Linked DNA regions of Sus scrofa. The protein of the gene in region 2 interacts with the protein of the main gene of each other region in a biochemical or structural test. Links are inferred from orthologs where the notes say so. Each region holds a gene or a part of one and is shown on either strand. Other genes may lie near its edges. The genes, in order: NGFR and NGF.

Region 1 (15,741 bases), on a different chromosome or scaffold from region 2:
CCGGATGAGCTCACCAGGGAGGCATTTGGCACTTGAAAGCTGGTGGGGAAGAAAGGCCACGGGGGACAGTGCACCCCTGCAGGCTGCTGGGAGTGTGAGGTCAGAGCCTTGGATGCTGACTTTCTGCAAAGTTCATCTTGGGGTTACAGCAGCTCCTAGAATCCCAAGGATACATCATGGGGGGAAGGCAACCTGAGGTCCAGCAGAGAGACTTGGAGCAGCTGAAGCGGCAGGCAGGTTGCAGCTTGCATAGGACTCCCAGCCAAGGAGGTGACTAGAAACTGAAATCTAGCCCAAATGCCACCTGCTAAGCTGCACACCTGCAAGGATGCGTGTACCCAAAGAGGAGTCTTTTTCTAACAAAGGGCAGCCGGGCTCCGGGTCCTTAATTCTACCATTCCACATATTAAGTATGAAATGGGAGGGGTCTGTACCCAAGAACAGAGGTGGGACCTTGGGTTCAAATTTTGGCTCTGCTCTGAGAGTTCTGACCTGCCCTGCTTTCCCTCTCTGATTCTGCATCTCTCTGGACAGAGAGAGAGAGAGAGAGAGAGGGAGTCACCTTAGGGCCAAAGCAAAAGAGCAGCCAATCATCAAGAGTCTGGCGCCAAGACGGGAGAAAAGGCTGCCTGTTATCAATGATGAGAAAGTGGCAGCTCTCACCATCCAGCAGCCCTGCTCCACCAGGGTCTGATTTCCAGCCACCAGCCCGCCCCTCTCCCTGCCCCCCAGGCAGCCAGTGGGACCTGCATTGGAAACAGGGGAGAGGGGAGTCAGATTCCTGCCGCTGAAGCATCTTTGCTCATGGATGGAATGATTTAGCACCAGATTCCCTAGAGGGAGGGGCTGCTGCCAGCTTGCTTTGTATTTCTGTTCCTTTAAAAAAAAAAAAAAAAAAAAAAAACTTAATATCTAATAAAATTCCAAAGCCTGTTTCCCTGGCTCCAGACCATGCAGCCCTCATTTGATGCTCAGAGGAAACAGGGGCTTTTGGATCATGGGACTAGAGGGGCGCTGTCCAGGTCATTTGGGACATTCCCCTGCTGCTTCCATGTTGGCCCAAAACATGTCTTTCCCTCCAGTCCTTTCAAATATCCTGAGGTCTCAGCAGGGTTTGATGGAGGTAGGGGGATGGCCAGGTTGGATCAGTTGAGGAGGCAGCCACTAGTTCTCAAGAGCCCAATGGGGAGGGTGCAGGCAGCCTAGGAGGGGAACCGTGGGTGCTGCCACCGTCTTCTCCCAGGTGGCAGGGACGGGGTGCTGGGAACATCTGCAGACCAGAAGCCCGGTGGGGGTGGGGTGGGGGGGTGTAGTCCCCGACACGAGGTTTCCCCCAGGAGGTGAGCAAGACTCCAGATTCCAGAAGGGTCTGTTCAGATTTCTTTTCATCCTTCAGGACTCTGCTTAAATGTCACTTCATCAGGGAAGTGGTCCCGTGGTCCCAAGCCTTCCTGGATCAGGCGGAGCCACCTTGTCCCTTGTCCTCCCTGTTCGGTCTTCCTGTCTGGTCTGAGTCTCTGCAGACACCCCCATGGGACTGTCAGCTCCCTGAGAGCAGGGACTGTGCTGGCCTCAGTGCCTGAGACAGAACCTGGCACATATTAGGGACCCAACGTGTATATTTCTGGAATTTAAGACAGTGAGACAATATGGCCTCGATTAATGAGAACTCCAGGGACCAACTCTCTCCGTAGAGAGCTGAGATTCTGGAAGGTCAAGGATTTGCTGCTCTTCTCATCTAATGGTTTTCACTTTTAACTATGGGCGCTTCCCCTTCCTCTGTCTCTGAAACACACTTTCACCGTTTCCCTATGACTCAGGGGCTCAATAGTTACACGAGCGATTTTTCTGGGCGGCGATGCAGTGATGCCCTATGTTCTTTATCACAAATGACCACACTTTTGTCTCTTGGAGTTCTCCTGTCAGCTTTTCTTACCATTTTTCTGTCTCCTCCTTTCCTGTCAAGGTATCAGTTGTCAACTCTCGCTGCTCCCAGTGTGACCGGAGCAGCCCCTCCCCCATTCTAATGTATTAGGTCTAATTGAATCTTTAGAAAGTACGTAACTAGCCCTGGTGGGAAGATGTATAAAGGGAATGAAAGCAGGATCTGAACCAAAAGGGGGGGCCCTTCTCAGAGTAAAAAGTGTGAGTTCTCCTGCCTTCATCATTGCGCTGAATCCTTGCTCATGGCTTAGAGTGAGGTGACCTGGGACGGGTTTGGAATTTCTCTGCGCCTCAGTTTCTTCCTCATTAGGTAATTATGACAGGACCTGCCTCAGAAGGTGGCTGTAAGCATTATGTAAATGAGTAAGCTGTGTATTTACTTTGAGACCCCTCCTTTCTCTTTTGCAAGGTCTTTCTGGCATTCTTTTGGCTTTGGGCTGAGTTCCCGTTAATTGGGGTCAGTAGAGACCTGGGCCCGGGATAGTGGAAGGGTCTGTCGTGGCAGTGGGCGGAGTGGCAGCCCCGTGCCCCGCCCTCCTGTCAAAGCCCACTGGTGGTCCTCTCTCTTCTCCCAAGTCTTTCATTTGGAGTCAAGGCTACATAATTAGTAACCATGTGTTTCCTGTGCTTGTTTTGTGTTCTAGTTCAAAACATTCCAGATCTGCTACTGAATAAGCATGTTGCTTTGGGTAAATTCTCTATCTCTGTTAAGCCTCAGTTTTCCCAACTAAAACACTGGGTTGGTGATATCTACTGCCCAGGGTGGCTGTGAAAAGTAAATGTAATTTATGCAAATCTGTCTGGTGCACAGTAAGAGTTTAATAAATGTTACATTTATTTATTTATTTGTTTTTTAGAGGGCTGCACCCTCAGCATATGGAGGTTCCCAGACTAGGGGTCCAATCGGAGCTACAGATGCTGGCCTACGCCACAGCCACACCAGATCCGAGCCGCATCTGCGACCTATACCACAGCTCACGGCAATGCCGGATCCTTAACCCACTGAGCGAGGCCAGGGATCAAACCTACAACCTCATGGTTCCTAGTCAGATTCATTTCCTCTGCGCCAGGATGGAAACTTTAAATGTTACTAATTAAAGAAGTGTCTTGTCTTAAGGACAAGCTGAACTGCTAAGCCTGGGCAGGGGATGGGGGTGGGGTGGGGGGAAGAGAGTAGGTAGCAGGAAGGGAGAGGTTTTTATTTTTATTTTTTTATTTTTTGTCTTTTTGCCTTTTCTTGAGCTGCTCCCGCAGCATACGGAAGTTCCCGGGCTAGGGGTCTAATCGGATCCGAGCTGCATCTGCAACTACACCACAGCTCACGGCAACGCCGGATCCTTAATGCCCTGAGCAAGGCCAGGGATCGAACCCACAACCTCATGGTTCCTAGTTGGATTCGTTAACCACTGCGCCACAATGGGAACTCCAGGGAGGGGAGAGTTTAGCCATCCCCAAAGAGGGAAAACCATCTCAGAGCAGGGGGCAAGATAGGAGTGAAGACAGACACCCACCAAGAAGAGTCTGAAGGAGGATGGGGACCAAAGGAGGATGGGGACCTGCTCTGTTCAAAGTTAATTAAGTCAGCAGCTATTTCCTAAGCATTGGACTGAGTTTCCAATGACTGAGTCACTTTGCTGTACAGTAGAAATTGGCAGAACATTGTAAATCAACTATCATTTTAAAATACTTGGAGTTCCCGTCGAGGCGCAGTGCTTAATGAATCCGAATAGGAACCATGAGGTTGCGGGTTCCATCCCTGCCCTTGTTCAGTGGGTTAAGGATCCGGCATTGCCATGAGCTGTGGTGTAGGTTGCAGATGTGGCTCAGATCCTGCGTTGCTGTGGCTCTGGCGTAAGCCAGTGGCTACAGCTCCAATTAGACCCCTAGCCTGGGAACCTCCATGTGCCACGGGAGTGGCCCTGGAAGAGGCAAAAAGACATAAATAAATAAATAAAATACTTTTTTAAAAAAAGGAACTAAGAGTGTCTCTTAAGACATGGTCCCTGACTCCTGGAAGGAGTTATGGTCCCACGATGGAGAGAAAATATCACCCCAAAGAGTTGCTCCAGAAGCTGAGGAGGAAAGACTTGAGGGATTGCCGTCATGGGACAGAGGTGGAAACTGAGGCCCACAGAGGTCATGCTGCTCACCGGCCTGATGCACCACCCGGCCACACTCCCTCTGGGTTCAAGGCCCAGCAATCTTGGGAAGGAGGGAGGGATGGCGAGGATTCAGGCTAATGGCTCCAAACGATGGATTTGCCAAAATGACAGACACATTTGCTTGAAATTTACATTTATTACACTTACTCATTTCCATGTCTGATGGAATGATTTCGTTCCATTTTTGAGAATGTTTGCAAATCTTTTCCTTTTTTTTTTTTTTGTTCTTTTTGCCATTTCCAGGCTTTCAAGAAATTAAGGTGGAAACACCCTTACGTGAATGGACTTTTAAGATTTAATTTTTCAAAACTGGACCCAATAGAGAATACGCCGAAATAGTTGAAAGAATCTGAAACTACAGGCAGGCTTCAGTGTGGTGAGTCCTAAGCATTCACAGCAGCTTCAGCAAAGGGTTCCTTAAGTGAATGGAGCCATTGGCCACTGTCACGGGGTTGGAGAGTTTTCAAACATGGGAAGGGTCTTTGAGACCAATGCAAACCCTGGGGAGGCACATGCCCCCTCAACCCTTTAGACAGGGGTGGAGTTTGGGGTCAAAGACAAGAGCGAATTACTGAGGAGGATGTTGCAGTAATAATTTGAAAGGGGGCGGGCTGGGAGAGAGGGGCTCAGCTATAACTTTGTGGTGCCAAGAGCACCGGACACGATCTAATGTGTAATTCAAGGCCACGTGTCCTTCCGTGATCTGGAAGGTTGGGGGAGGGGCCGGTGCCTGGCATAAGGAGGACAGAGTAAACTCCAAGCCAGGCACCCTAGGTTCCAACAAGGGCGCCACCATCTACTAAACTGGGAGAGCCTGATTTCGCGTCTGAAGGTCCGGGAGGTTCAGCTCTCTCAGCTGTAAATGGGAATAACTAGATTGACTCGGCTGGGACCTTATAAGGATTAAATAACATAAGAGAAATTACTCAGGGCCATGCATGGCACGCAGTAGGCACTCAATCAATTTTATTATTCCCGCCTCCCCGCCCCGCACCCCCAGGGAAGAATCTAGGCGCGTGCACGGGACCTGGCTGGTACAGCGGCGTGGGAACACCTTCCCTTCCGAGGCGCCTCCCCCACCCGGCCCCGCTCGCGTGCTCGCATTTGCTGCCGTCGCTGCATCCCTATTATGCGCATTAGCCAGTCCAGCGGCTCCGGTTACAGACGTCTGAATGACAAAGTGCCTCCATTACCGGCGCGGCTCGCCAGCCGACCCGCCGGGACGCGCTCTGGTTTCAGCACTCTCTCGCCGCGGCCCAGGAAGAAACTCGGACCGCTGCGGTGCACAGAGCCAGCCCCGAGACAGCAGCCCCGCGGCAAGGCGGAGGCGAGAGTCCCAGGGGCTGCAGGCGGCAGATTCCGAGCGGGGTCCACCTTTCCGAGCCCCCAGGCCCTCCACGCGCAGCTCCCCTCCTGTCTCGCCTTTTCCCTCCTCGGCGGACACCCTCCAGCCCAGATCCGGAGCCCACGCCCTCGCCTCTCCGGGATCCGCACTACAGTCCCCCCCACCCCCCTTCCCGCTCCCTTCCTCCCCGGCTGAGAAGCATCTTTAACCCGTGACGTTAGTCAGCAAACGTGCCCGCAGTCACTCCCACATGCCCGGACGAAGCCACAGGTACTAGCATCCCAGAGAACTGGGGCTGAGCTTCGAGGATAGGGCCAGCACCCGGAGAGGCTCTCTGCCCATCCCAGCCCCCAATATTCCGTCGGCCGGACTCTGTCACGCCGACCCGCCGCCGCCGAGCCACGCAGCTCTTAACCCAAGCTGGGACGCCGGGCAGCCCCTTTTAAGAGGTACGGGGAGTACCGGGCTGGGAATCAGGTGAGGGGCAGGCTAGCTAAGAATTCTGGCTCTACTTGCTTGTGGGATCTTGAGCAATTGGCTTCAACTCTCAGAGCCTCTGTCTGTAAAGCTGGGATTTGGAGATGCGAGGCTCCGATGAGAGATGAAGATGGCAGGGAGAGTGAGGACACCTCCTCCATTGCCAAACCTCTCAGGGCACTCGGTTCATGGCCACACACCAGGTCACATCTCCTGAATGTCTCGGCAGAACTTCCGGGCGGACTTTGACGCTCACGAGGACCCACGGTCCTTTTCCGGGACAGAATCCCAGGCGTACAAGCACCCCCGTTTTGTTCCTTGCCCGGTGTCTTTCACCCAAGGCTGGGCGGGGCGCGGAAACAGAGCGAACCACCAGCGCGACGCTCGGGCTGCTTAACTTAACTGGAGGTCGGGGTGGCGGTGCGGCGCTTAGCCACAGTCGCGCGGGTAGCTGCGACGGCTCAGCCCTCGCGCCACAGCGCCCCCTGCGGGCCGCCTTCGCCTGCGCGCTACCCCGACCTTCCCCGCCTTGCGCGTCCCGCCTCTCTGCACCCCAAGAAGTGGCGGCGACCAGAACCCGTCGGACGACGCCTAGCTCTGTCCCATCCTGTCCTCCGCTCTGCTTCAAACTGCGAGAATAAATGCGGAGGAGGAGCCCGCCGGTCGCCGGAGAACCCGGAGAGCGGGTTCGCCCCGGCGAAGTGGGCACTCCCTTCCTAGCTTCGGACCCCAAGCCGCAATTGCCTGACCTCGCGAGGCCGGGAGAAAGAGCGCGCGACAGGCGCGGGAAGTGTCTGTGCCTCTGCCCTCTCTTCTCGTCCCACTGTCCCTCCGCGGGCAGGCGGGGCCCCGACCACCTTAGGGTCCGTTCTCCCTTCTCCGTCCTCTCGTTTTGCTTCCATCTCTCTACCTCCCTCACCGCCATCCCTTTTCTGCCCTCTCTTAACCATTTCTCTTTCTTCAACAGAGCCCCGCTCCACGAACGTCTCCCTCCCACGCCCCTCCCCCCCATTGTCTGGCTGGTCCTCATTGTCCGATGCCCAGTCCCCTTTGCCTCCAGTCCCTGCAACCTCCTCTCCCATTGTTCCATCCCCTTGTCTCCGGTTCCCCGCCCTAACCACGCTCGCCCCTCACTTCTCTAGTTCCCGTCCCATTCCTTCTCCTTCTCTAGCCCAGGTTCCGTCCCATGACCCTCCAGAGATCAAGATGCTCAGGGGGGAAGTCGCCTCGAGATCTTGGCATTCAAGCGCCTTCTTCCAAGGAACCCAGGCATCCGAGAGCCCCACGGTCCCCTTCTGAGAGACCCTTCCCAGCTCCTCCACACATATACCTCCTGGTACCTGAGGACCCGCATCCGTGCGCCCCTCTTATCCGCATCTCTACCCTGGATCTCAGGGTCGCCTCTTCGCTCTGAAATCCTTAGATGCTCCTCTGTGGATACTGGCATCGGAGCTTCTCTCCCGCCATCCGCCCCCAGCATCGAGGACCCCAGCCCTCTTTTCTATTTTCCCTCGAGGAAACCTGAACTCATCAGGGTTCCGGTCCTGGGAAAGGGAGCGGGCTCCTCTCCGGCTAGCACTCACCCCCTGGAGCAGCAGCAGCAGCAGCAGGCGCGGCCAGTCCATGGCGCAGCCGGCGGCACCTGCCCCCATCGCCCGCCTACCGTGGCAGCGCTCGGCTTCCAGTGGAGTCCGCTCCGCGGACCGATGGGGCTGCTCTGCGCTGCGCTCGAGCGCCCGCCCCCCGGAGCTGGCCGAGGCTCGGCTCCCTCTGGCTGAGGGCGGGAGGGGCTGAGGGAAGCCAGTGCGGCGGCCCCGCCTCCTCCGCGCCCCGCCCGCCCGCCCGCCCACCCCCGGAACCGCTCCCGCCCGCCCTGCCGCCTCCGGGAGGGGAGCGAAGGGGAGGGAGGGCTTGCGGGGAGCCGCGCCCGCCCGCCCCGCTGCCGCTTCTCCGCGCCCCGGCCCTCCGAGTCTATCCCCCACCCCGCCCGGGTACCCGGCGCCTGGCCAGCGCTACAGCGCGTCTGTCCCGGATGCTGTGGGCTCGGGGCGTCCCCACTGCGGCTCCCACTCCCTTGGGCTGCGGCCCCCCGCAGGGTTCACTCTCCTACCTGCCTTTCCCTGCCACTGGCTTCAGCTTCTTCCCCGGTGCCCTGCTCCCTACCCAGCCGCATCAGCAATAATACCCACTGGCCTATAGGCCACCCCTCCCTCTGCCCCTGCCCGGTGCTGGGGCGGAGGGGGGGTACGGGTGTTGGGGGGTGGTTGTCTGTGCGGAGGCCTAGGGGAGAGGGAGGGGGGTCAGCAGGTGGCCTGACCATGACCGCAAGCAGCGGGGATGTTCAAGGTGGAGTCCATCCCGCTATCAACTGAATTCTCAAAAGATGGGTTTGAAGGGATCACAGGTGTGTACACGCACAAAAAGGAACACACCCACTCCCAAGCTCCCATATATATGTGCTTGTGCACTCACACGTGCCCACACCATGCTCACGCAGTCCTGTAGACCTGCGCATGCGACACATACGTGTGCACCTCCACACATGCACACTCATCTCCCATGTGCTCATAATATGCAGACACACGTACTCACCTACACACTCACACACACTTGTGTACGGATGCAGTTACGTCACGTGGAACACACGCACGGTCATGAACACACACACTTACACGCAAACAAGAGCATAGATGCATCCTAAACACTTTGCCTTCATTGGATTGTGTTTACATTAGCTGATAAGCACCGTGCAGGTGGGGACTATGGTTTCTTATCTGAATGCCTCGTACACAGTAGGCGTTTGGAAAAGGTCTGGAGAAGGGAATAGAGGTAAAATTGGTTGGATGGACTCACATCCAGGTACCTGTCCATGTACTACGGTCGCCTTCCCCAGGACTGCACTCACCATGCCTTAGAAAGCTTGGCAGTTCCTAATCATAGCACCCCACCCCACCCCAGCACCCCAGGGAGTGTGCTGCCAGTCTTTGGGTGGGAACCACTCCCACGTCTACCTTGATGTCCCCCCCCCCACTACCTGTTCCCACCCTCTCCTAGTTCCCAAACAGGAAGGCCCAGGAGGAGAGCTGGGGAGGGGGGATAAGTCGACAAAGTCCATCCCCTCACCCTGATCTTGGCCAGATGTACATCAGTTTAGACTTGGAAAAAAAAAAAAATAGGGCTACTATCCCACATTCAGGGAGAAGGGGCAGATTAAGACACTTGTGTCTCAAGAGGGCATGCTCGCTGCTGGTAGGTGATGTCGCAGCTGTAATGATCAGCTGCAGCTATTTCATTCATTCATGGGGGATAAAAATCTTCCTTGCAGATTTCTTTCTTGTATAACCAACAAAGGACATCCCCAGAAAGGACAGGCAGACATCGCTGTGGCCTTGACTGTGAATGTACATGACCCCCTTTGATGGCTGGGCCTGAGAGGCCAGGCGGCTAGCCCCCCTTCAGAAATCCCCAAGGATGCCCTCCTCCCAGACCGGGATCACTTTGTTGTTGTTGTTGTTTTGGCCACACCCAAGACATGCAGAATTTCCCAGCCAGGGATCAGACCTGCACCCCCGCAGTGACAACACCAGGTCCTTAACCTGCTGCGGCACCAGGGAACTCCCAAAGGATCGCTTTTAAGCTTTCTCCTCCTGCTGCTTTTAGAGCCTTGCCTTTCCTCTCAGCTAAATTCATGGAAGGCAGGAAAGGGGCAACATTAGTATTAACAGCAGCGCTGAGCTGCTTACTACCCAGGGTATCGACAGTATGGCATTAATTTAAATACTCCTGTTATTAATTTATGATCCCAGTTACTATTATTGCCGAGCTTATCCATCTCAACACAATTTAATCTGACCCGCACCACTATGGCTGGGCCTGGGTTATTAATAATTTCCATGGTCTTGATCATTTAAGCCTTACTTGAACAATCACAAACAGCAATGGTTACTATTATTAGCAGTATTTCTATGATTAAGCCAGAGCACAAGACCATGATGTCATGCTGAGTGCTGGTCGGGAGAGTGGCTATGAATTGCGTAAAGAAGAGAGCACTGAACTGAGAGTCAGAGCTAGCCACAAATCCCTACATCTCCCACCCACCCCTGCATCAGGTACTTCTGCAGGGTCTGATGTTATGTCATCTCTCTCAGCCTGTTTCCTCATCTATAAAATGGTAATTTTTTTTTTCCCTAAGGCTGCTCCTGCAGCATATGGAGGGTCCCAGGCTAGGGGTCAAATCGGAGCTGTAGCCACCGGCCTACACCAGAGCCACAGCAACTCGGGATCCAAGCTGCGTTGGCAACCTACACCCAGCTCATGGCAACGCCGGATCCTTAACCCACTGAGCGAGGCCAGGGATCGAACCCTCAACCTCATGGTTCCTAGTCGGATTCGTTAATCACTGAGCCACAAAGGGAACTCCCTATAAAATGGTAATTTTTTAAAAAGATCCTATCTTGGAGTTCCCTCGTGGCCCAGTGGGTTGAGGCTCTGGTGCTGGTCACTGCTGTGGTGCCAGTTCAATCCCTGGCCCTGGAAAGTTAAAAAAAAAAAATCTTATCTTAAAGGGAAAATAAAATTCATCAAAGAAAAGACTCAAAGAGTTCCCACCGTAGCGCAGTGGGTTAGGGACCCAGCGCTGCTCGAAGCGGTGGCATAGATGGCCGCTGTAGCTCGAATGCAATCCTTGGCCCAGGAACTTCCATATGCCATGGGTGCAGCCAAAATAAAAAAGATACTGCATCCCCTTTAATCCATTCAACATGTGTTTATTGCGCATCTACTATGGGCCACACCCTGTTCTAGCGGTGAACAAAAGCAGCTACCCTCATGGAGCTGAGGTTCTGGTGTGATAGTGACGTGATATGAAGGATTATTTTAGAATGTGACACCTTGGCTTGATCATTAGCGAGATGGCATGGCTCTGATCAGAGTGCTCCTTTGCAGCAGGGATTCCTGTTCCTCGTGAGTGCTGAATACTTGAGTCGGTCCCTTTTCCCAGGAACACTATCAGAGGCCCTATGGTGCCCCTATCTGCCGGATCCCAACTCCCCCACCTTTTTTTTTTTTTTTTTTTCTTTTTGGATCTCTCCGCAGCATATGGCGTTCAGATCCGAGTTGCAGTTGTGACCGATGCCAAAGCTGCAACACTGGATCCTCAACCCACCGTGCCGGGCCAGGGATTGAACCTGCATCCCAGTGCTGCAGAGACGCCACAGCAGGAACTCCCCAGTTCCCTAACTGTCTCGATTCCTAGCCCCAAACATGAGCATCCTTCACCAATTTCTTCCTAACTCCACTCCCTTTCCCCTAAGCCTCAGCACGTGCAGCAGCAGCAGCCGTGGGAGGGGGCATGGGGAGAGGGTTCTTAGGAGCTGACCGGCAAGTGGGATCAGACAGGCAGCAGCAAGGGGGCAGCAGTTTTCACAGGAGGGTCCCCGGGTACCATCTCCCATAACTGAACTGCACGTATAGAGGGCTCCTCCTCCACCACCACACACATGCCAGGGCTTCCTGGACCTAATAGGGACCCCAAGGTGAAAGGGTGGAGAATCTCAAAGCCAATCTACATGGAGCTGGGAGTGGTACTGGTGGGTCAGACCGCATCTTCAGGAGGTGAAATGCGAGGGGTGTGGCCCTCTCTGCTTCATCTCACCGTTGCTCCATCACCCTGCCCCTGCAGAAAGGCAAGGTCCTAACCCATATTCCCTGGCGTCCCTTTCCGCTGGGACTCCTCGCTTAGGGCCCTCTGCAAAACATTGCTCGGAGCTCCCTGTGTCTGCCTTCAGCCCCTCTTCCCCACCCCCCTCCCCCGCAGTCACTAGGGAACCAGCCTACAGCGCCAACTTACTTCCAAGCAGAAATGCGGGTGCAGACAATGAGCTCACATTTATGGAGAAATCCTAGGGGCCGGAAGATCCACATAATCTTTTTTTTTTTTTTTTTTAAGGACCTCAGATGTGGCATATGGAAGTTTCCAGGCCAGGGGTCAAATTGGAGCTGCACCTGCCTGCCTATACCACAGCGACAGCAATGCCAGATCCAAGCCTCATCTTTGACCTACACCACGGCTCATGGCAACCCATTGAGCGAGGCTAGGGATCGAACCTGCATCCTCATGGATCTTAGTCGGTTTCATTACCACTGAGCCACAATGGCAAACCCCCACCCCCCGCCCCCACACAATCTTTAATCCCCACCGCAGTGTCATGAAAGAGGGGCTGGGTTCACCACATACAGATGAAGAGACTGAGGCTTGAAAAGGTTAAGCCACTTTTTCCTTCTGGGGGAGACGCCACCCCCAAAAGAAGCAGTGGTGCCATAAGTGGCCACTATACTGTAGAAGGCACTTCACAGCCACGTGTCACCATTAACCCCCATGTCCCAGCCACTCCTCCCCCTCCACCACCACCCCTCCAGCCTTCACTCCAAGAACCTACATCTCAGAACAAGCATCTCACTTGGCCCTTCAATACTGGCACTCAGATGCTCCCTCCTGACACGCCTGCACACGAATCTGGGCTTCGGCCGGGGTTGGATGGCCTGAGGGAAGCCGAGGTATGGTCTCTGTCATTTAACTGAAGGCACAAGTGTCGAGCTCTTCTGGTGAGCATTCACTGCTTCTTTTTTTTTATTTTTTTTCTTATTTTTTAAATTTTGTGGTATTCTTTTTAGGATCATGTGAAATTTATGTAACTTTGAAAGATAGGAAATTTTTTTAAGGAAAATAATAATTAATTAATTAATTGATTAATTTGTCTTTTTAGGGCCATACCCGCGGCATATGGAAGTTCCCAGGCTAGGGGTCAAATTGGAGCTGTAGCTGCTGGCCTTCGCCACAGCCACGGCAACACAAGCTCCGAGTCAAATCTGTTACCTACACCGCAGTTCACGGCACCGCCAGATCCTTAACTCACTGATCAGGACCAGGGATGGAACCCACATCTTCATGGATACTAGTCAGGTTCATTGCCAGTGGGCCACAATGGGAACTCCGAGCATTCTCTTTTCCTGCTTTGGGAGCAGCACCTTGCCTATCCTCCAGTTCCACCGTCCAGCCAGAAAAGGGGCGAAGGGAGATGGGCAAGGAGAGAACAGTTTTTGAGGGAGGGGGTGGGAGGTGCTGGGCCTCCCTCAGCTGCAGCCCTTATGCCCCCGGGCACTGGGCCAGGCAAGGTAAGTGAAACCCGCTGCCCCCCATCAGGGGTGAGCTCAGTGGCCTTGAAGTGTGATGCAGTGATTACCTCTGGGCTGACTCGCCAGCTGCAAGGGGCACCTGACCAATGAGGGGGCAGAGTGGGGGCTGGGGACTAATTTGGGGTCAGCCACGTTGGATTCCGGAGCTGCGTTAGTAGTGAGATGGGCAAGAGGTATTAGTCAATTTTGGAGTCCAGTTAGATTAACTGGAACATCAAAGTGGGCCCGTTCCATGGTGCCCTCCCCCACCATCTGCTCCAGCTCAGAGGCGGGTCCTCCTCCCTTCCTGCTGCCACCCTATCCTGCAAGGGGCGCGGACTGACCCGTGTGTGTCAGCTTCGCTCACCTCTGAGCCCTTCCGGGGGTTATGCTCCCATGAAAACAACTCTCTTCAACTTCCATACCTGCGGCATATGGAAGTTCCCCGGCTAGGGGTGGAATCAGGACCTGCAGCCACAATTCTACACCACAGTCACAGCAATGCCAGATCCGAGCCGCATCTGCGACCTACGCCACAGCTCACGGCAATGCTGGACCCTTAACCCACTGAGCGAGGCCAGGGATCCAACCCTCATCCTCATGGATCCTAGTCAGGCTCACTACCACTGAGCCACAGTGGGAACCCCCATCTTCTCTTGTCTTTCACCCTAACTGTAGAGTAGGTCCAAGTCTTCCATTTTCCGACCTGCAGTCCTTTGCCTTCAAAGGTCACCCTCCCTCCTACGTGTCTCGTTCTGCACCCATACCTCTGTCAATTACATCTGATTCATTTCTTCACACATAGACGGTAGGGACTTAATCTCCCTAGACTTTGGGTCCTGGAGAAGAGTTACCTGGAGGCACAATGTGCTTGAAGAGAGAAAGAATTCCAGGCGGGCTGCTAAGGGCACAGGGGAGAGAGTCGGGGTACCTGTGCCTCTGGGCAACCATCCTCCCTGCCGAGGCGGGGGCCAGCCCTCTCTCCAGCCTCTGGCTTCATCTCTGGGGCACAGTTCCTTCAGCTAGCCTTCCTCTAGGCAATTCCTCCGACCCTCCACTTTGACCGCCCAGCCCTGAAGGACTGCAGAGCTGCCCTGTAGGTCCGAAGGTTTCAGTCAGCCCTCTCGCTTTTGTATCCTGCATCCCAGGACAGTCAGGACATTTTTTTGGTCTTTTTGTCTCTTTTTAGGGCTGCATCTGTGGCTTATGGAGGTTCCCAAGCTAGGAGTCTAATCAGAGCTGTTGCTGGAGGCCTACGCCAGAGCCATAGCAACGCCAGATCCGAGCTGCATCTGCGACCTACACCACAGCTCACGGCAATGCCAGATCCTTAACCCACCGAGAGAGGCTAGGGATCGAACTTGCAACCTCATGGTTCTTAGTCAGATTCATTCCCGCTGCGCCATGATGGAAACTCGAAGTCAGGACATTTTCAAAGAAAACCTGAGTAGGGCTACACCTGTGCTGGAGCAGCATGAAGGTGAGAGGATGAGGCATCAGAGACCCAGGGCCTCATTGGCTGGGTGCCCTGGGGCCGGTCCCTTCCCCTGCTCTGAGCCTCAGTTTCCCTCATCTGTAAGATGGGCATAAGATACCAGTCTCAGAGTTATGGTGCAGAATCTAAGAGGTCTTGCGTGTGAGGGTGTCACGGGAGTTGGGCCGGTGTGAATTAGTCTTATTCTGTTTGCTGCTGCTGCTGCTGCTGCTGCTGCTGCCGCTGCTGCTGCTGGTGGCTTCTGGCCTGCAGGCTGGTGACCGGATGCAGAGTAAGATGACATCGCAGCCCTGGAGACTCAGGCTCGGGGGCCTTCCTGCTGCCAAAGAGAGCCAGAGCTGTGACAGGCCTCCGGCTCCGGCACAATTCCCACGGGAATTGCTGGAGGAGGTGACACCCCAGGCCCCAGCTTATCTTCAGTCTGGCGCGTCTGGGAAGTGGGGTCAAGTGCAATTGTCTGGGTTGGTTTCCAGCAGAGGAGGGTAAAGGGCATGGGTGGAGTCTGTCAAGCCTCCCAGTCAGAGAAGACCCCCAAGAGAAGACCCCCAAGAGAGAAAGGAGGAGGGTCCTTTCCCACTCCCACCCATCCCAAGGCCATGTCCACTGGGTTGGGGGACCCCCGACGCAGGGCGGAACCATTAAGAACAGGAGGCCTGTTCCCATTGTGGCTCAGTGGGTTAAGAACTCCACTAGTATGCATGAGGATGTGGGTTCCATCCCTGGCCTCACTCCATGGGTTGAGGATCCAGCGTTGCTGTGAGCTGTGGTGTAGGTCGCAGATGCAGCTCAGATCTGGCATTGCTGTGGCTGTGAGGACGTAGGCTGTGATGGAAGCCGGAAGCTGCAGCTCTGATTCCACCCCTAGCCCCGGGGAACTTCCACATGCCACAGGAGCAGTCTGAAAAAGAAAAAATGAAAAAAGAAAAAGCTGCTTGGGTAGCCAGATCTTCCTGCACCGGTTCTCACAGGCCCACCCACTCCTGAGAAGACTCCTGTCTGAAGGGGGAGGAGACCCCAGTCTCAGGGCAGAGGCAAAGCCCTTACCCTGGAAGTCTCATTCCCTGAGGAGGGAGGTGGAGCAAAGTCTCACTACCCCAGGGAGCACAGAGGTGGGTCTGGAACGTGGAGAGGGACCCCGTAGTCCT
Region 2 (15,613 bases):
AACTTAAGTTACCCAAGATCACACAACTAGGAATCATAGAGCTGGGACTTAACCCCAAGTTTGTCTGGCTTCAGAGCTATGCCCTTTCCTAAACCATGCTGTCGTCTGGGCCAGCAGCTTTTAAACTTTTTAAACCATGACTCATAGTGAAAAAATACATTTTCCATCATGATCCAGTTTGCACATATGTATGTGTAAATGTATATACAGCTAAGACCAAAGTTTCATGAATACTTTCCCTTGCTATATGCAATGCACATTGATTTGTAAAAATTTTACTCTTTCCTTTTTTTTCCTATTTTCTTTTGAAGAGAGCAAGAGAGAGTTGTACCACTTTAATTGATTTCACATCCCCCTAATGGGTCTCAACCTACAGTTTGAAAACCATTTTCCTTTCCTCTACACCACGGGAGTTGACCTGAAATGTTTTCAACTACTTGCTTGATCTCGTTGGATGCTGCGCCTCATCTTTGCTTCTGAGGCAGGCTGCTAATTATGCACCCTAGACCATCCCTCTGGTGAGGGGACATCATTAATCAAATATTTCAGAAATTACAAATATCAGACAAAGCCTTTCGCTTGGAAAAGAGTCAGTCTAGGAAACCATCCAGAAAACATAACCGCTGATCTCAGGCACTGACTAGTAATATTTTAAGCAGTTGATGCATGCTTTCTCAAAAGAAACTATTTTCTCTGCTTTCAGAACCTAAAGGACACATCTGCTCTGACGGGGCAATGCACAGTCACCATCTAACAATAAATGCCCCAGGAAAAGAACAACGCAAGTGGTTGGCTCTTATCATTCCACCATCAAGTGTAGTGCTGTCTTTCTCAATCTGGGGTGAGTACACCCAGAATCTGAAATTTCTGTGCTTTGCAGGGAAGTGCATATGTCTTCACCCTGGTTTAGGATTTGGGGGTGATTTTGTTTCAGCAGCTGGGGGGCAGGGACAGGGTTGGCTCAATCAGCTTTAGATCATGGAAAGTGAGGTCCAGATCAGGTGGCTCCAGCACAAGTCAGCCCGGAGGAGCCGCGGACTCGGTGACTTCACTCCAAGCAATGTGCATGCTAATTGAGAAAACATGTTCCTGTGATGGCCTCATGCAGAAATCCAGATTTACGAATTTTTTTTTATTCCTAAGAATTCCTTGAATATTTGCCGTGCGTGTCTATACAGCCTCCCGGAGTACTTTTCCTTCTTACCCAGTAGAGTTGTGTTTTTCAGCTGTGGCCCAGGTCAGGTTTTGAAAGGGTGGGATTCTGACAGAGCAAGTGGGCACACGGTCTCAGGCCTCGGAGAGAAGCAGGAAGGCGGCAGGAGGGGAGAAAAACAGCTTACACATACTCTCCCTCTTCTGGGGCAGGAAAAGCAACAGGAGCCCAAGTCCTTGGAAAGCAACTGTTTACAAAACTCAGTGAGGGGCCCTTCCTCATGCCTCTGGCCCTTAACGCCCTCTGGGCTGGCTAAAGCCCACCCGCCCAGCCATCGGACAGGGCTCAGGCTCACTGGGCACCAGCTCCATTCCAGGCTCTGGGATGAGTCAGTGCTCTCCAGCCCTCCCTCCCTCATTCACCCTCACAACTGACTTCCAAGAGCAGTATAATGAGCCCCTTTTAGAGAAGAGCAAACTGAGGTTTGGAGGGATTGAGTAATGTGGTTACAGAGTCAACAAGAGGCAGAGCTTGGATCTGAAGCTAGGTCTCTTTTGTGCCAGGGTTGCTTGTCTACAGTCCTACCCACCTGCAGGACATCCCCTCCCCAGGAGCCTCCCTAGAGGGCACCTTGCCCCAAACCTCTCTGAGAGCCACACAGCTAAGCCTTCTACAGCTAGTCTCTGTTTTGATATTGCTCGTAACTGCTCCAAGAGTGTTACGAGCAGGAAGGCAGCAGGAGGAGAGACAAACTAGATGCAAAAACAAACGAACAGACAAACAAACAACAAAAAACCCCCCAGCAGACAGGTTTTGCTTGGTCCACATGGATGTTTCGAAAAGTGAAGAAACTATATAATCGAACTCAAAATTCTGACTCTTTCGGAAAAGTTGGAAAATCTGCCCACATGGTCCTACAGACCTGCAAAGCAATAGATGGCCTTTCCCCTCTTGATGGGACAGACCCTCTCTAGTTTGTTTTCTGCAGCCACCACCAGCCTATGGCCTTACCTCATTTACGTTATCCGATGAGGCATTTCCACTTTGACTCTTGAGCAAGCTCCTTGGACAAGACCATGATTTATACTTATTATGACTCTCCAAGTGCCCAGGCCTCTAGTTAGCATATTAATTAAGATGCTAGGAGTTCCCCTCATGGCTTAGCGGTTAACGAACTTGACTAGGATCCATGAGGTTGTAGGTTCAATCCCTGGCCTCACTCAGTAGGTTAAGGATCCAGCGTTGCCGTGAGCTGTGGTATAGGTTGCAGATGTGGCTCAGATACTGCATTGCTATGGCTGTGGTATAGGCTACAGCTCTAATTCAACCCCCTAGCCTGGGAACCTCAATATGTTGCGGGTACAGCCCTAAAATAGCAAAAAAAAAAAAAAAAGATGCTAATTGGGAGAAGAAAGATCAATCCAGCAGCCTGAGGTCAGGGGGCTGAGGACTGGTCCCTCTTTAACCAAAGGTTATATGCAATTCAGCAACTGCTGTTCAGCCACTGACCCTTGGGGTGAGAGAGAGCACAAACACCTGGCTGCCGTAGAAAAATTCACTTCTTCCTCTTCTATCTCTAGTAAACTTGATAAGGTACATAAAATCCTAAGGAAACGAGCTGTTGGAGGAGGACAAGTTGTTATGTGGGGTAAGGAACCAAAACACTCTTAAAGCTGCCAGTACAAATGGCCATTCTCAAGAAATGCCTTATTTAGAGAGCATTACATAACATTTCTGAAATACAAGTCTGAGACGAAGTTTGCCTCTGAAAGAAAATTACAGGAAAATGTCCATGAGTTCCCTTTTGCTTGGATATAATGAGGCCAAAGTAATTCAGAAGATGAAATGTTTGGTTAAAATTCTATCAAAATGAGGACATTAAATAGAGAAGGTCAAAATACAGGTGGGTAAGTTCCTAGAGGAGCTTCAGTACGACCAGGAAGATTTCTTCTCTCCGTGTAACAAAGCTTTACATATACAGAGACATAAAAAATGCAAAGATGAGGTTGTCCAACCTGAACTAAAAAGCATAAAGGGAGGAATTCCGCAGACCCCTCTGGGCACCGAGGGAGAACACGAGGGATGGGAACTTGTGTTTGTTGAGCGCCTGCTGTGCACCAGGCCTGTGATGTTCCACCAGTATCCTCCCACTTGATGCGTACAACAGCCCGACAGAGCGGGTATCACTGTTATCTCTGTTTTATGGAAGAAAAACACTGGCTACAAAAGAAGCCTTCCTGCATCTCTGTTCTCCTGGTGCTCATCTCCTTCCTCCCTGCTCGCCTAGTCCAGCGTCCTTCGGGCAGTTAGAGCCCACCTTGAACCTTGTGGTTTCCTCCTTCCTTAGAAACCACAATCCAAAGGAACCTGCCTCTCTTGCATCTCCCGAACAACATGGGGGTTTAGCTTTTGGTTACTGACAAGAATGAGGTGGTCCCCCGTATGTTAACCTCTAAGCCAGGTCTACTCAGGTCCAAACATGGGATGGCACGTCCCCAGAATACACAAGTGAGAAATGCAAGTCACTTTAACTACCACTCTGATCCACAGTGATTGGGGCGGGGGCACCAAGTCTTCAACCGCATCTCTGATCCACAGCCATGGGACTTGGGGGGGGGCATTGAGACAGGACCCCCTCCCCCCAACCTGGCTGAGCTCTCATGGCTCCCAGCAGACAGTGCTCCCTGGAACTTACTTGGGAACGTGAACACTATGCAGCCAGATGTTATATTCCACCAACCTTGGCTACCAAAAAAGCAGCCAGAGGAAATGGGAAGATCAGCCCATCTGTACCAAAGAGCAAATACTTTGTGGTTATTGGGAGACAATCCCAGTAGTCGTGGATTGTAGCTGCCCTCGATGTGGAAAGGCTTCTGTGGGAAGCTTGGGCTGTTCGTTCCCACTGACTTCAGAGCCAGATCGTTCCACTTGCAGAGCTTTCCACCTGCAGAGCCACCCCAGGCAGTGCCAAAACATCTCCATCTGCTTACTCCGGTGGGGAATTTTCAGGGAAACCCTGACTGTCTGACTGACTAATACTACTCCTAATAAAAAGACTTCCGCGTGTAAAAGAGGTTGGCCAATTCAGAAAGCATTGTTGCTAGTCCCACTTGACAGATTGCATCATCAGACCTGTCTCAACTTCATTTGGGAATCTCCTTAAGTCTCTTATGTCCTTTTTTTTTTTTTTTTTGGCCTCATTAGGAATCAATTCTAAACTCTGCCAGCTCTACTGTTTTGGTAGTTTTCTCTCTTCTACTGCTTGGGAGTGAGTAGCAAGCAATAACATCCTCCAAAGACATTATTCATTTTAGCTCTTTGCACTATGAATAACCAAATGGTCCTATTTTTTAATTCTCTGGTGAGATTTTGGTAAGGATAAGTGAACTGTTCTACGTGAGAATAAACCCAGTCTTACAAGCACCATCCCTCCAGTGCAGCATTACTAGCCTACTTTTTCAATCGAATGTCACATTATTAATTCTCATTTATTCTCACAGCTTGGGCACAGTTGTATTAATTTGATACCAACGTGTGCCCATGTTGTATTAAGTGTTGTCGATGCTGGGGAGGGTTCTGCTTCCTCGTTCTCTCATTCAGGGAAGGGACCTCCTGGTGCCAGAGTGTGATCCACTTAGTGAAGGAGAGAAGGATTTCCTCCCAATGCTGTGGACACCCGGGGCAGGCAGTCTGCCTGTGTTTTTAATAGCATATGGCAGAGAAGGAAGCCGCCATGCTCTAATACCGCCTGTCCCTTCTCCCTCCTCTTTCTGGTTTTCTTTTCATATGGTTCAGTTGTAGTCACGTTCCACTGACCAAAGCAAAGGACAATGCCTGGCAGAGCCACAGCACTGAGGTTCCTGCAACTGGCTTCCTGGAGCCTGATACGCTGGCTCCTGGAGGATGAAGCCCAGGGCTGGACACCTGAAGCCCAAATTTAATGATTAAATAATAGATGACCAGACTATAGGGCTGAAAGGCCTGTATTGGTAATTTCCAAGGGAGTTCTCAACTGGGAGCAGTATTATCCTTCTAATAAGCATTTAGCCACATATGGGGGGAGGGGATTTGGGGTAATCACCGTGACTTCTGGCATTTAATAGGCAGGTAGGGGCACTAAACTTCCTGCATTATGTAAATAGGTCACCCTTCACCAAGAATCGTCCCCAGGTGCCAACAGCCCCTTTGAGAAACACTGTTAATCCACTACCCTTGTCCTATAGAATGGGAAAGTAGTCTGAGAAGTTTAGTGACTCGCTCAAGGTCACAAAGCTACTTCCCCTCCTGTCTCATAACTCAGGAGACGACCACAGGAAGCTTACCCGAAATATGGGAGCAAAATAGCAAGAGATCATTTCAAGGGGATTCCCACTGTATTGTATTCTGAGACCAACAACCTATAGAAACTCCTCCAAAACATGTAAAGTAACCCAGAGAAGAGTAATGAAAAAATCATGAGCATAGGCCCTTTTTATTATACATTTTCATTATTATGGCCTTGGCTAAATTTTGTGGCAAAATGTCTATCCTCTCAGCTTAAATAGTGACACTTTCATCCTTTGCACACCTGAAAGGTCAGTGACTTCAAAGCCTCAGTTTCTCTAGCTGCATTTCTGCTTCAGGGCCATCCGAGTTTTCCTGCTATTTAGAGTTAGGATGTTAACTGGTTCCCCACTGTCAGGAAGCAAGGTCTCTGGCAATGAGTTGGAGAAGGGTCTTTCATTTCCATTTACTTGCTAGAGGCTGCCATATGCTGTGAAACTGGTCCATCACAAGAGATGATTTGTCAGGATGAGCTAAGCCTGATTCCTAACAGTTTAGCTGATGGTTTGCAAGATCAGAGGTGCTAGTCAAAGGAGGAGCAACCCTCTGTGAATATGGATTGTTTGCTCAGTGATATCCAGATTTTGATATGAATCCTCAGCCAGCCTTCCACTGCCTGCTGAGAACAGCAAGTGGTTTCTCCGCGGCTCCAAGGCAGTTGCCACTGAAACAAGGCATGCCACGAATGTGCAGCACTCGTGCTCAGCACTCATTTAAAAGTTGTGCCATTTTCCCATCAGTTTAATCTCAGTAATGATGAGAAACTTCCCTCAGGCTCCAGCCCTGCCCTGCCATGCCCTACCCTCCCTGCTGATGTCGGCAGCTGGGGGCCCCTTCCTGGCCATCACACAAATTTCTCCATGGAGGAGGAGAGTGTGAAGCCTCATCCCCTGCTCCCTCCAGCCCCCTGGGTGGGGGAGACATGTGGTGGGCAACAGGAGAAGCTGAGAACCTCACTCCTTGACAAAGGTTAAGGATATCGAAAGAGTCACCAGTATGAGGATAGCTGCCTGAGTGGACCCAGCTTGCCATTTCTCTAGTGGGTCTGGGCCTGGGTTGCTTTGGGGTAGGATGGCTGCCGGGGCAGGCATGGCACAAGCAGCTGGCTATAAAATCCTCTGAGGTACTCCTATAGCTCTATCAAAACATGAGTCCCCATGCCTCAGAGATTTGTGGTGCCTCCTAACATTTTCCCCATCAAGACTGCCCTTTTTCCCACCTGCCTAAAAATGTTGGGAAAATCATGGTGGGGGGGGTTGGCAGCATGTGATGGTAATCCCAACCCCCTTCAATGACCCAAGTATGAGCCACATTCAAGGCCAGCAGGGCCAGTCCCAGCCCCCAGACCATTCACACTCCCCACCCCTAGTCCTCAGTTGCTGCTGAACCTCTGGGAACAGATCCCATAATGGACTGACATTTGGGCCGGCCAGGCTGACGTATGACTTCTGCAGAAGAGACCCATGCAGATCCAATGTAGCCTTTCTTCATTGGCTCTTCAGAAGGGGAAAGTTTCAGACGTTCAAACTGTAGACACTGCACAGGAAGGGCTGGCAGGGTCCAATGGCTGCTGCCCTCCTCTGCGCTGAGAGGAAGAAGTAGTCCCCTCCGGCCGCAGACTTAACTGACAACTTCAAGTTTGAAGACCCGGAATAGAAGATACTGGTGGGCCCGCCACTGCCATTCTGAATTTGAGAAAGCAGCTGACCATACATGTGAGTGGGGGAGGAGGTGTCTGGCGCTGGCAGTGGGTGTGCCCAGAGGATGGAGCCAGGACAATTAATCAAGTGCCTTTTCTCCAGGATTTCCATTGGCCTCAGATGACGGAGGGGGCAGAGATACCCAGGAGAGTCCTATTTTGGTTTCCCGCTGGGAACGTGCACTAAGTTTTTCTTAATACCCATAGCACCCAAAGGCTTTACTGTAATACCCTTTAATGCATGAAACACCCATAAATTATCCGACAAACTGTTACAACTTCCAACCTGGAACAACTTGGAAAAACCAGCCTAGCAAGCAAGCTCTTTTTTAATCTCTCAAATCACAAGAGAAGAGAAAAGTTCAAGCAGAAAACACCTTCCATGAGAATCTCAGTTGTTGTTGTTTGGAAAGAAAAAGGAGAGTTGTAATCAGAGTGAAGCCGCTTGTTTACGATGGCTCAAAGATGCCGCTCGCGACCCGGAGTCCTGTCTCTCCCTCCCCTAGGTCTTTGCCGTCTGGACCCAAGGCACTGCCGCCCCACCCCTCCATACTAGCTTCTCCCGCACCTGGCAGCAGACAGCTGGAGGTGAGGCGTGTAACCCACGTAGCAGGACCTTGCATGGAGTCCCTTGGCGAGCAGGCTTCCTCTAACAACCCCTGGGGCCCTCTCTGGGGATTCCCAGTTCTCCAGCGACCGGCGAAGGAACCCGGAGACCCTTGCTTCATGCCCTGCACCAGGTCCAGGGCCCCCTGCCCGCTCATCCCCTTCCCTGGGGGCAGCGTAGCACTCGAGGGACTAGGCACACACCCCAGCCCGCGCGCGCCCTGCACTCGCACTCCGCCGTGCAGATCACCACTCCTGCGGCCCCGGCGCGCTCGCAGCCCGCGCATCCCTCTCGCCACACTCGTTCGCTCTCTCTCACTTGAGTGCCGTCCCCCTTCTAGCCCTCGAGCTAGTCCTTGGCACCGCCGTACAGCGATTTCAAGCGCCAGAGTGGCCTCCCGCACTTCGGGCCATCGGGAGGTTGGGAACTCCACGACCTGAGAGAGCCCTGCTCCCCACGACTCGCCCACCCGCCGAGGCTCCCGCACCCACTTGGGACGCTCCTCTCACGGCCGCAGTTCAGCCCATGGGAGCCTCCGGGGCACCCAGAGATCTGGCCACACTGGGATCCACGCATACTCTCCCCGGGAGCCCAGCCACGCCGGACCGCGCCGGTGCCCGAGCTGCGCCCCTCTCGGGCTGGGCTCAGGGCAGCCTGACTCACCGCTGCGCTCCCCTCTGGCTCCCAGCGCTCTCTGCTGTGCCGGAGCGCCGAGCTGCTCTAACACAGGCTTCTTGAATTCTTAGCCCCTCCTCCCGGACTCCTGAGTCACCCACTCCAAATCCTTTCCCCCACTCCAACCCTCCGCAGCCCCAGCCCCGCACCTGCTCCAGCCAGGCGGAGGTGCCCGCCAGTAGGGGTCCTGGGGACCAGAGAGCGATCTTTCCCGGGAGGGCGGGCTTGACCCAGCCAGGGTTGGGGGTCAAACCTCCAGAGGTCAAAAGGAAATGCATCGGCATTGGAGGGGCCGCTTGCAAAGCCCTACTGGCTGGGGATTTTTCTGGGGCACCAGGCGGGGGTGCTGGCCTCGGACGCCAAAGGGCCAACTGGCTGGGGGTGGGCGGAGTCGCCGGGAGCTCCCCGCACCTCCCCTCCCTTCCCTCCTGCGAAGCCGGCAGCCCGCGCCTTGCTTCCAGCTCCTCTGGGGTCTGCCTGGTGCCATCCTTCGTGCCCTGGGCTTGGGCTGCTCCAGCTCCTGGGAGCCAAGAGAGAAAAGCCCAGAGACCTTTTTTCCCAGGACGCCTCCTGTCACCCTGGGAGAAAAGAGTACCCAGGGGAGCTCCAGGAGATGCAGGTTCCTGACTCCTCTGACACAGGGAGAGCTGTGGCTCCTACAGCAGAACCAGCTAGAAGGCCCTGGGGCAGGGCACTTAGGCATTAGGACCTAGAATCAGAGCCTTACCTTCAGGCCCTGATTATAGAAGCTTCCTTTCCGGGGTGCCTGATCCTTCTGAAATTGTAAGCAGATTTGTCTACTGTGTGATGTGTGGTTTTTCTGGGTGGAGGGTTCCCAACTTTCATCAGTTTTGCAAAAGTTCTGTGACTCTAAACTGACCCAGGCAGAGAGCCTTCTGCCCCACCCCAAGCCCTACCCAAATTCTTTTTCTCCGCCATCCGTACTTTCAGTTAGGCAGGATCTCGTAGCTGGCCCACCAAGATTTCTTGGGTTCCATGGATTCAGAGCTTGACCAGGGAGTTTGTCTGACCCATAGCCCAGAAATATCCCTAAAGTCAGATTTCCACCAAATGTGCATCATTAATTGTAATAATGTTCTGGGGGATTCATGGAGCTTTGAAAATTCACACCCCCGTCCCCTGGTATTGAGCTTGTATGTAGGTGTCTTCACTTCTTCCTTGAGCAAATTGCATACAGAACCCCTCCTCTGTGCCTGATGCCACACGGGAGGAAGGCTTGGAGAAGAGAGTTAGAGAGATAGGTGGTGGGGGGAGGCAGGCAGAGACTCCCTTTGTGGGTGAAGCTCTGACAGCACAATTAAGGTGAAGGTCACTCTCAGGCACTGGGATTTAGTGAGGCACAGGAGTTCCTGCTTTAAGTCCAAGGGTGGCCCTTGTCCCCCAGTGGAGGGCACTTGAGCCACGTGAGGCCCCGCTTAGGCACTTGACACAGACTAACCTGAGGTTTCCGCTTCTTTCTGGTTTTACCTTTGCTCCCATACTTTATTCACCCACATATGTATGCTCTGAGAGGGATGAGGTAGGAGAAAAACCCCAGACTCAGAAGAGCGTTTGAGCTTTGATACGACCTCGTTATTTCCCAGCAAAGCCTCTTTCCCTTGAGTTGTTCAGATGCAAACTGGTGGAGGAACACTTTGGAGGTGAGTGTAAGCAGCCGGAGCCACCATGAATGGGCCTTTCTGTAGAAGCAGCATCAGAGTCAGGGTGATCCATTAGGAAATTTATCACCGTCAGTTAAACAAAGGAATTTCCAGACAATAGGACAAATTCATTCATCAATCATGTCATGTATAAACTTGTTTGAAAGCACCAGCCCTAAGCCTTACATAATAGCTGCCCAAGAATTTAGGGATGAAGTTACAAATTTTAGAATAACAGAATTTGGTTGTTGAATACAGAGCTTTTGTAGGTGTCCTTGTGGCATCCCCGAGGACAAAAAGGATTAGGGGCACTTGTTCTTTTTCATGTGGAGTGTAAGAAGCAAATTTAAAAATGATGTAAACCTGGATGCCCCACCCCCCAAATTATTGATCACATTCTGATGGCACATGTTGATTTAATAAGTGCTCCTTTCCTCCCCTGAATAGCTCTGTTTATGTCCTTGAGCTTTAAGGATCTTGAGTCAAGTATAGCATGTAAATAACAAATGCACACTCCAAAGGTTGATTGTTGAGCACCTGCTATGTGCCAGGCCCTGCGAGATATCTAAGGTACCTGATCAGGGAGCTTGTGTTTTTGTGGGGGCTGGATTAGCAGTTCCTAGCCACATCTGTCACCACCTCTCCTGGTCCTAGCACAGGGTCTGTCACACAGTAGGTGTTCAGTGAATGCCTGTTAAATCCAGCAGTGATCAGAACCACGTGTGGCTGTCAGCCAACCCATCTACACTGGATCGGTTTCCAGCAGGTCCAGGTCAGACTGTCCTTGGCACAGAGACATAGCCAGGTGTCTCTTCTCTTGCATCTTCCATTGTCACTCAGGGCCCAAACAGAAACATCTTTCTCCTGGGTCATTGGAACAAGGACCTTAAGGCCTGGACCAGCTACATTTATAGGAATGAAAACAGCTGAGAGGGCAGCAGGCAGGAGGAATGGTGTGGACAAGCAGAGGATAAGAATGTTTTTCTGGACTTGATTTTCTCAAAAGAGCTTTTTATCCAAGATATCAAAATAACTAGCAGCTGATACATTTGCTGCCTTGGAGGACAGATTGTGGCATGCACAGTAATTGTTGTTATTTCTGAGGATTCAACCACTGAGTGCCTCATCAACGGCAGCACTCAGCCTAGTGCAAAGCTCCAGCCTCTCCTTTGCTTCATTCCAGAAGGCCAGGACAAAGTGCACAAGCTATTTAAAACATCAGGAGGCTCAGCAGCGAGCTGCCAGTACTGATGGAATCGCCAGATCTGCTTGCCATACGTGTGAACCAGAAATATTGACACATTGTCCCAGTTGCTGGCGGAAGTGATAACTTCAGCTCAAAGATTTTTTTTTGTTTTGTTTTGTTTCCTTCTAATCAGAGTCGAGAAAAACTTCAGAAAAGGAAATGTTTTATCATGCTTAGTGAGATGACATGGTTGCAGAATCACAGAGAAGATCATTCTAGCCACCTCATTCATGGAGGAGGACACAAGGGTTCGGGAAGGACAAGGGCTCAGCCAAGTACAAACAGCCAGGGTCAGGACCAGAACTCAGGCCTCTTGACTTCTGAGCAGGTCTTCTTGTTACCACAGTTTCTGAAAGAGGCTGAGGGAAAGACCTCCCATCTCTGGCCTAAGCAGGGAAGCTGGTAAAGGAGCCCAGAAAGGCCAGGTGCAGACAACACTGCCATCAGGGGTCTCCCCCTTCTCTCTGGGGGACCACCCCTGCCTACTCACGGGGCCTCTCTCTGTCTTTTCTCCCTCTCTGATATCTTCTGTTCTCCCTCTCTACAGGTTCCCTCCCTTTGGCTTGTGAGCACTCACTTGCCTTTTTCTCTTACAGAAACCTCTGGCCTTCCTCCTGCTTGACCACTGAATTTCTCAGCTTCCTTTCACTACCAGATTCCTCAGCAAAGTCATCTACACCCACTGGTTCCTTGGCTCCCTTTAACTTCCCGCAATCTGGTTCCCATCTCTTCCCCGTATCCCTACTGAACTCTTGTCTTCTTCAAGGTCACCAGTTGCAAGAAGCACACCTCCACCAACATAATAATGGCAGCATTTATTGAGGGCATTCCTTGTTTTAGGCCCTGGGCAAGGCATCCTGTGGCCCCATCAGTAGGTATCATCTGTTTGTAAATGAAGAAGCTGAGGACCTAAGAGATAAATCTCTTGCTCAGCATACGTCAGTGACTGAGCAGAGATGTGACCCAAATCTGTGATGCTCTTGCTGTTGAACACCGGGTCTCTTCCTCCTTTCAGCCAAGTTCAGCAGCCTTTGCCAGTCCTCAGCCTCCTCTAGGATGACCTCCATTATCTAAGACTTGCTTTCCGAGGCTTCTGTGACCGTGCTGGCCTGGCTTGCCATCCACCTCTCCGATTTTTTCGTCTGCCCTTGAAACGCATGAGCCTCCCGTGGCTCAGACCAGGACTTGACATTCTCCCCCATGCGCACTCTTCCGGGTGTTCCCTCCTCTTTTTATGATTTCACCCCCACGTCAACCCTGACCTCTCACACATGCCCCTCAGTCACCCACATTTTGAATGTCCCTATGTGCCAGGAGCTCCCTGGGTTCCCTTCAGACCACGTGCACAGGCACTAGCAAGGGCTCTGCTGCCACCACCCCACCCCAACACCTCCACCTGAAGTCCTTAACTCCTCCTGCTCAGCCCTGCAGAGCTCATTCTTGGTACCAGAAAATCCTAGCTGGGCGCAGAGCAGTTCAGCTTTTCTCCAGCGGGGGCACCACAGCCCAGGAAAGCCACTAGCTGGGGACAGGGAAGAGTTCACTCCTCTCAGATGGTGCAACCTTGGGAGAAAGCTCTCTCCTCTTTGAGCCATAAGAAGTATAATTACTTGTAATTATATAATTAGACATTAAATAATTAATATCTGAGCACCTGCTATGGGCCAGTCCTGTTCTAGGTGCCAGGGATTCAGCAAGTGAATGGAACAACCTCTAGTCACCTGGAACTAAGTAATCAAGTTAAGTTGTTTAACCCATTTAATAAATAAGTATTTAAAAACATTTTATACCAGGTCTGTCAAGAATAAAATTGTGATTTTGTTGAGCTTGATTTGGAAAGGAAAGTGAGACAGGTATAGAAACCGGCCAGGGTAAAACAAGTGGTCTCCTTAGGTGTAGCATCAAGCAAGCCTCCTAGCAGACTGGAGTCTCTCTACTCTCCTGATGCAAACAGCTGTGAACCTCCAGCTGCTCAGACTGGTCCAGCTCCATCCCCACAAAGGCCTCCATCGACCCTGTGGCCAGCACGCGGACAGCGCAGTTCTTGTCCTCATGGGTGCTGTGTTCAGACACCTCTGAGGCTCTCCCACTTCTCTCCCTCCAGGGTGAGTCCTCAGTGCTCCTCAGAAGCCCCACAGCACTTCTGCTACCCCAGAGCCTTCACTTTGGTCCTCACTCTGCAGCCCCTATGGGGCCTGACCTCAAGTGTTCCTATTGGGGCCACTGTAGAGCTGCCCCGAGGCAGGGTCCCCAGTGATCAAATTCTGGCTGCAGAGCAGCATGGCTGTCCTTTCCTGTCCATGGTGCCATGTTGACAATCAGGCTTCTGTGGTGCTGAGTCACAGGCAGGACCCTCACATTTGTAACGCTCCTGTGGAGGAGTCTGGGCTGGGTGGCTTCTGCTGCATCCTGGGTGGCTTTCTGTCACCTCAGTGGCCCAACTCAGCACTTATTACAGTCCTGTTCTGGGGTAGGATCTGTGTTAGGTACAAGCAAACAAGGATCAAGAAGGAGTGTTTCCTGCCATATGGAAACTTACTTTCCAGCAAGGAAGTAGTGGAAGCTCAGGGGATGGAGCGTTTGACCAACTTGGAGCTTCAGAGCCTCTTTGTTGTGCCCGTTGCACTAGCACACATTCTATATTCCTTAAAGCCCTGTGTCCTCTGGCCCCTCATGCCCTTCATCTTCCCCTCTTGCAACTTCCTTTTCTTTTCTACAGCTCCAGCCTCGGTGACTATTTTTATTTCATTTAATAAGCTGCGCTGGCACCTCTGGGCTCTATACTCCTTTTTTTCAGTTCCTCCAAAACTACCACCCCTCTCCTCCAGCTCCACCTTGCTCATTTCTCTTCCTTTGGGGCTCATCTTTCAGAATCTTAGATGACATTTCTAATGCGGTATCATTGATCCCCCAAGTCAAGACTGGGTGCCCTTTCTAGGAACTTCTGTAACACTCTGTATTGCATAGAGCAAATGCTTAATAAGTATATGTCAATGAGTTATTGCTCAAGCTAAGCTTTGAGGCATGAGTAGGAGCCAGGGAAGAATGTTGGAAAGAGCAACATTTTGGAGGCAACCATTAGAACTAAGGTGTGCAAGTGTGAAATGGCATGGTGCATGCAGGAAGCTGCAGCCAGTTCAGAAGTAATGGGATATGAAGTGTCAAGAAATGAAGCTGGAGAGTCCCAGGTGAGGTCAGGGAGAGTGTGGATAATGGAGGGTTGGGCCTGTGCAGGGAGACCACCTGGGGTCTATAGTCATTCTCAGGAAAAGTGGTCGTTCCTCAGTGTCATCTCTCATGAGAGTGGGGGAATCTGGGGTATTTATCCTCCAACTTCCTTTCAAAATTGGTTGAAAGCTACTTTGGAGGAGGGAAGAATAATCCCCACCACTATTCGTCTGCCTCCTGTACCTGTTGAACACACACCTGCAGCCATAGAAAGCCCCCAGGTGCTTGTAGAAAGAGGTCATCATCATGCACCTCAATAGTGAGATCTGAAGGGATACGGGAGTTCCCATGATAGCTCAGCAGTTAACAAACCCAGCTAGAATCCACAAGGATGTGGATTCGATCCCTGGCCTTGTTTAGTGGGTCAGAGATCCAGTGTTGCCAGGAGCTGTGGTGTAAGTTGCAGATGTGGCTTGAATCTGGCGAGCTGTGACTGTGGCGTAGGCAGGCAGCTATATCTCCAGTTTGACCCCTACCCTGAGAACCTCCATATGCCATGGGTGCAGCCCTAAAAAGACCAAAAAAAAAAAAATTGTAGGGATATGGATGGTGGCCCTGGTACCTTATGCTGCACATTCTTAGCCTGAAGCTCTAAAGTCTTCCATTCTCTACTCCCAGTTTGCTCTTCTTGAATTGAAACATAAAGGTCACATCCAAGTGAACAATGATGATGACGGCCTAAGCAGGTCACCAGGAGCTAAGCATAGAGAGGAGACGAATTCAAAATAAATGTAAAAGGTGTGTTAGGACATAAGCATGGTTGGATGAAGGATGGGGGGCAAAGGGGTCTCCTGGATGTCCCTGGCTTCCTGGTTTGCCTGACCAGTTAATGTCAGTGCCCACTGTGGAGATGGGCATCAATGGTGGAGCCTGTGGTTGGGCTAGGATACAGAGGTCTTCAGTTTAGGATTTGGGGGGACCTGTGGTCCAGAGTCTGCAGATTAGGAAAGATGGAGTGTCAGACTGCAGGCTGGCAGTCTGAACACTCCATACAGGCTGAAAGAGCCAGTGGCGTTATCTC

Evidence for each region.
Region 1: the proteins of NGF (region 2) and NGFR form a complex in vitro, tested with the Homo sapiens proteins (2 studies listed by BioGRID and IntAct, with this or other methods). The link is inferred for Sus scrofa from reciprocal best matches to the Homo sapiens genes NGF and NGFR.

The regions. Positions count from the first base shown.
Region 1 is NC_010454.4:25,691,386-25,707,126, reverse strand, and holds the start of NGFR (tumor necrosis factor receptor superfamily member 16), read right to left. Parts: upstream 7,718-15,741; 5' UTR 7,581-7,717; coding exon 7,512-7,580; intron 1-7,511. UniProt on the Homo sapiens protein: Low affinity receptor which can bind to NGF, BDNF, NTF3, and NTF4. Forms a heterodimeric receptor with SORCS2 that binds the precursor forms of NGF, BDNF and NTF3 with high affinity, and has much lower affinity for mature NGF and BDNF.
Region 2 is NC_010446.5:105,249,622-105,265,234, reverse strand, and holds the start of NGF (beta-nerve growth factor), read right to left. Parts: upstream 8,545-15,613; 5' UTR 8,446-8,544; intron 8,428-8,445; exon of another isoform or gene 8,274-8,427; intron 1-8,273. UniProt on the Homo sapiens protein: Nerve growth factor is important for the development and maintenance of the sympathetic and sensory nervous systems.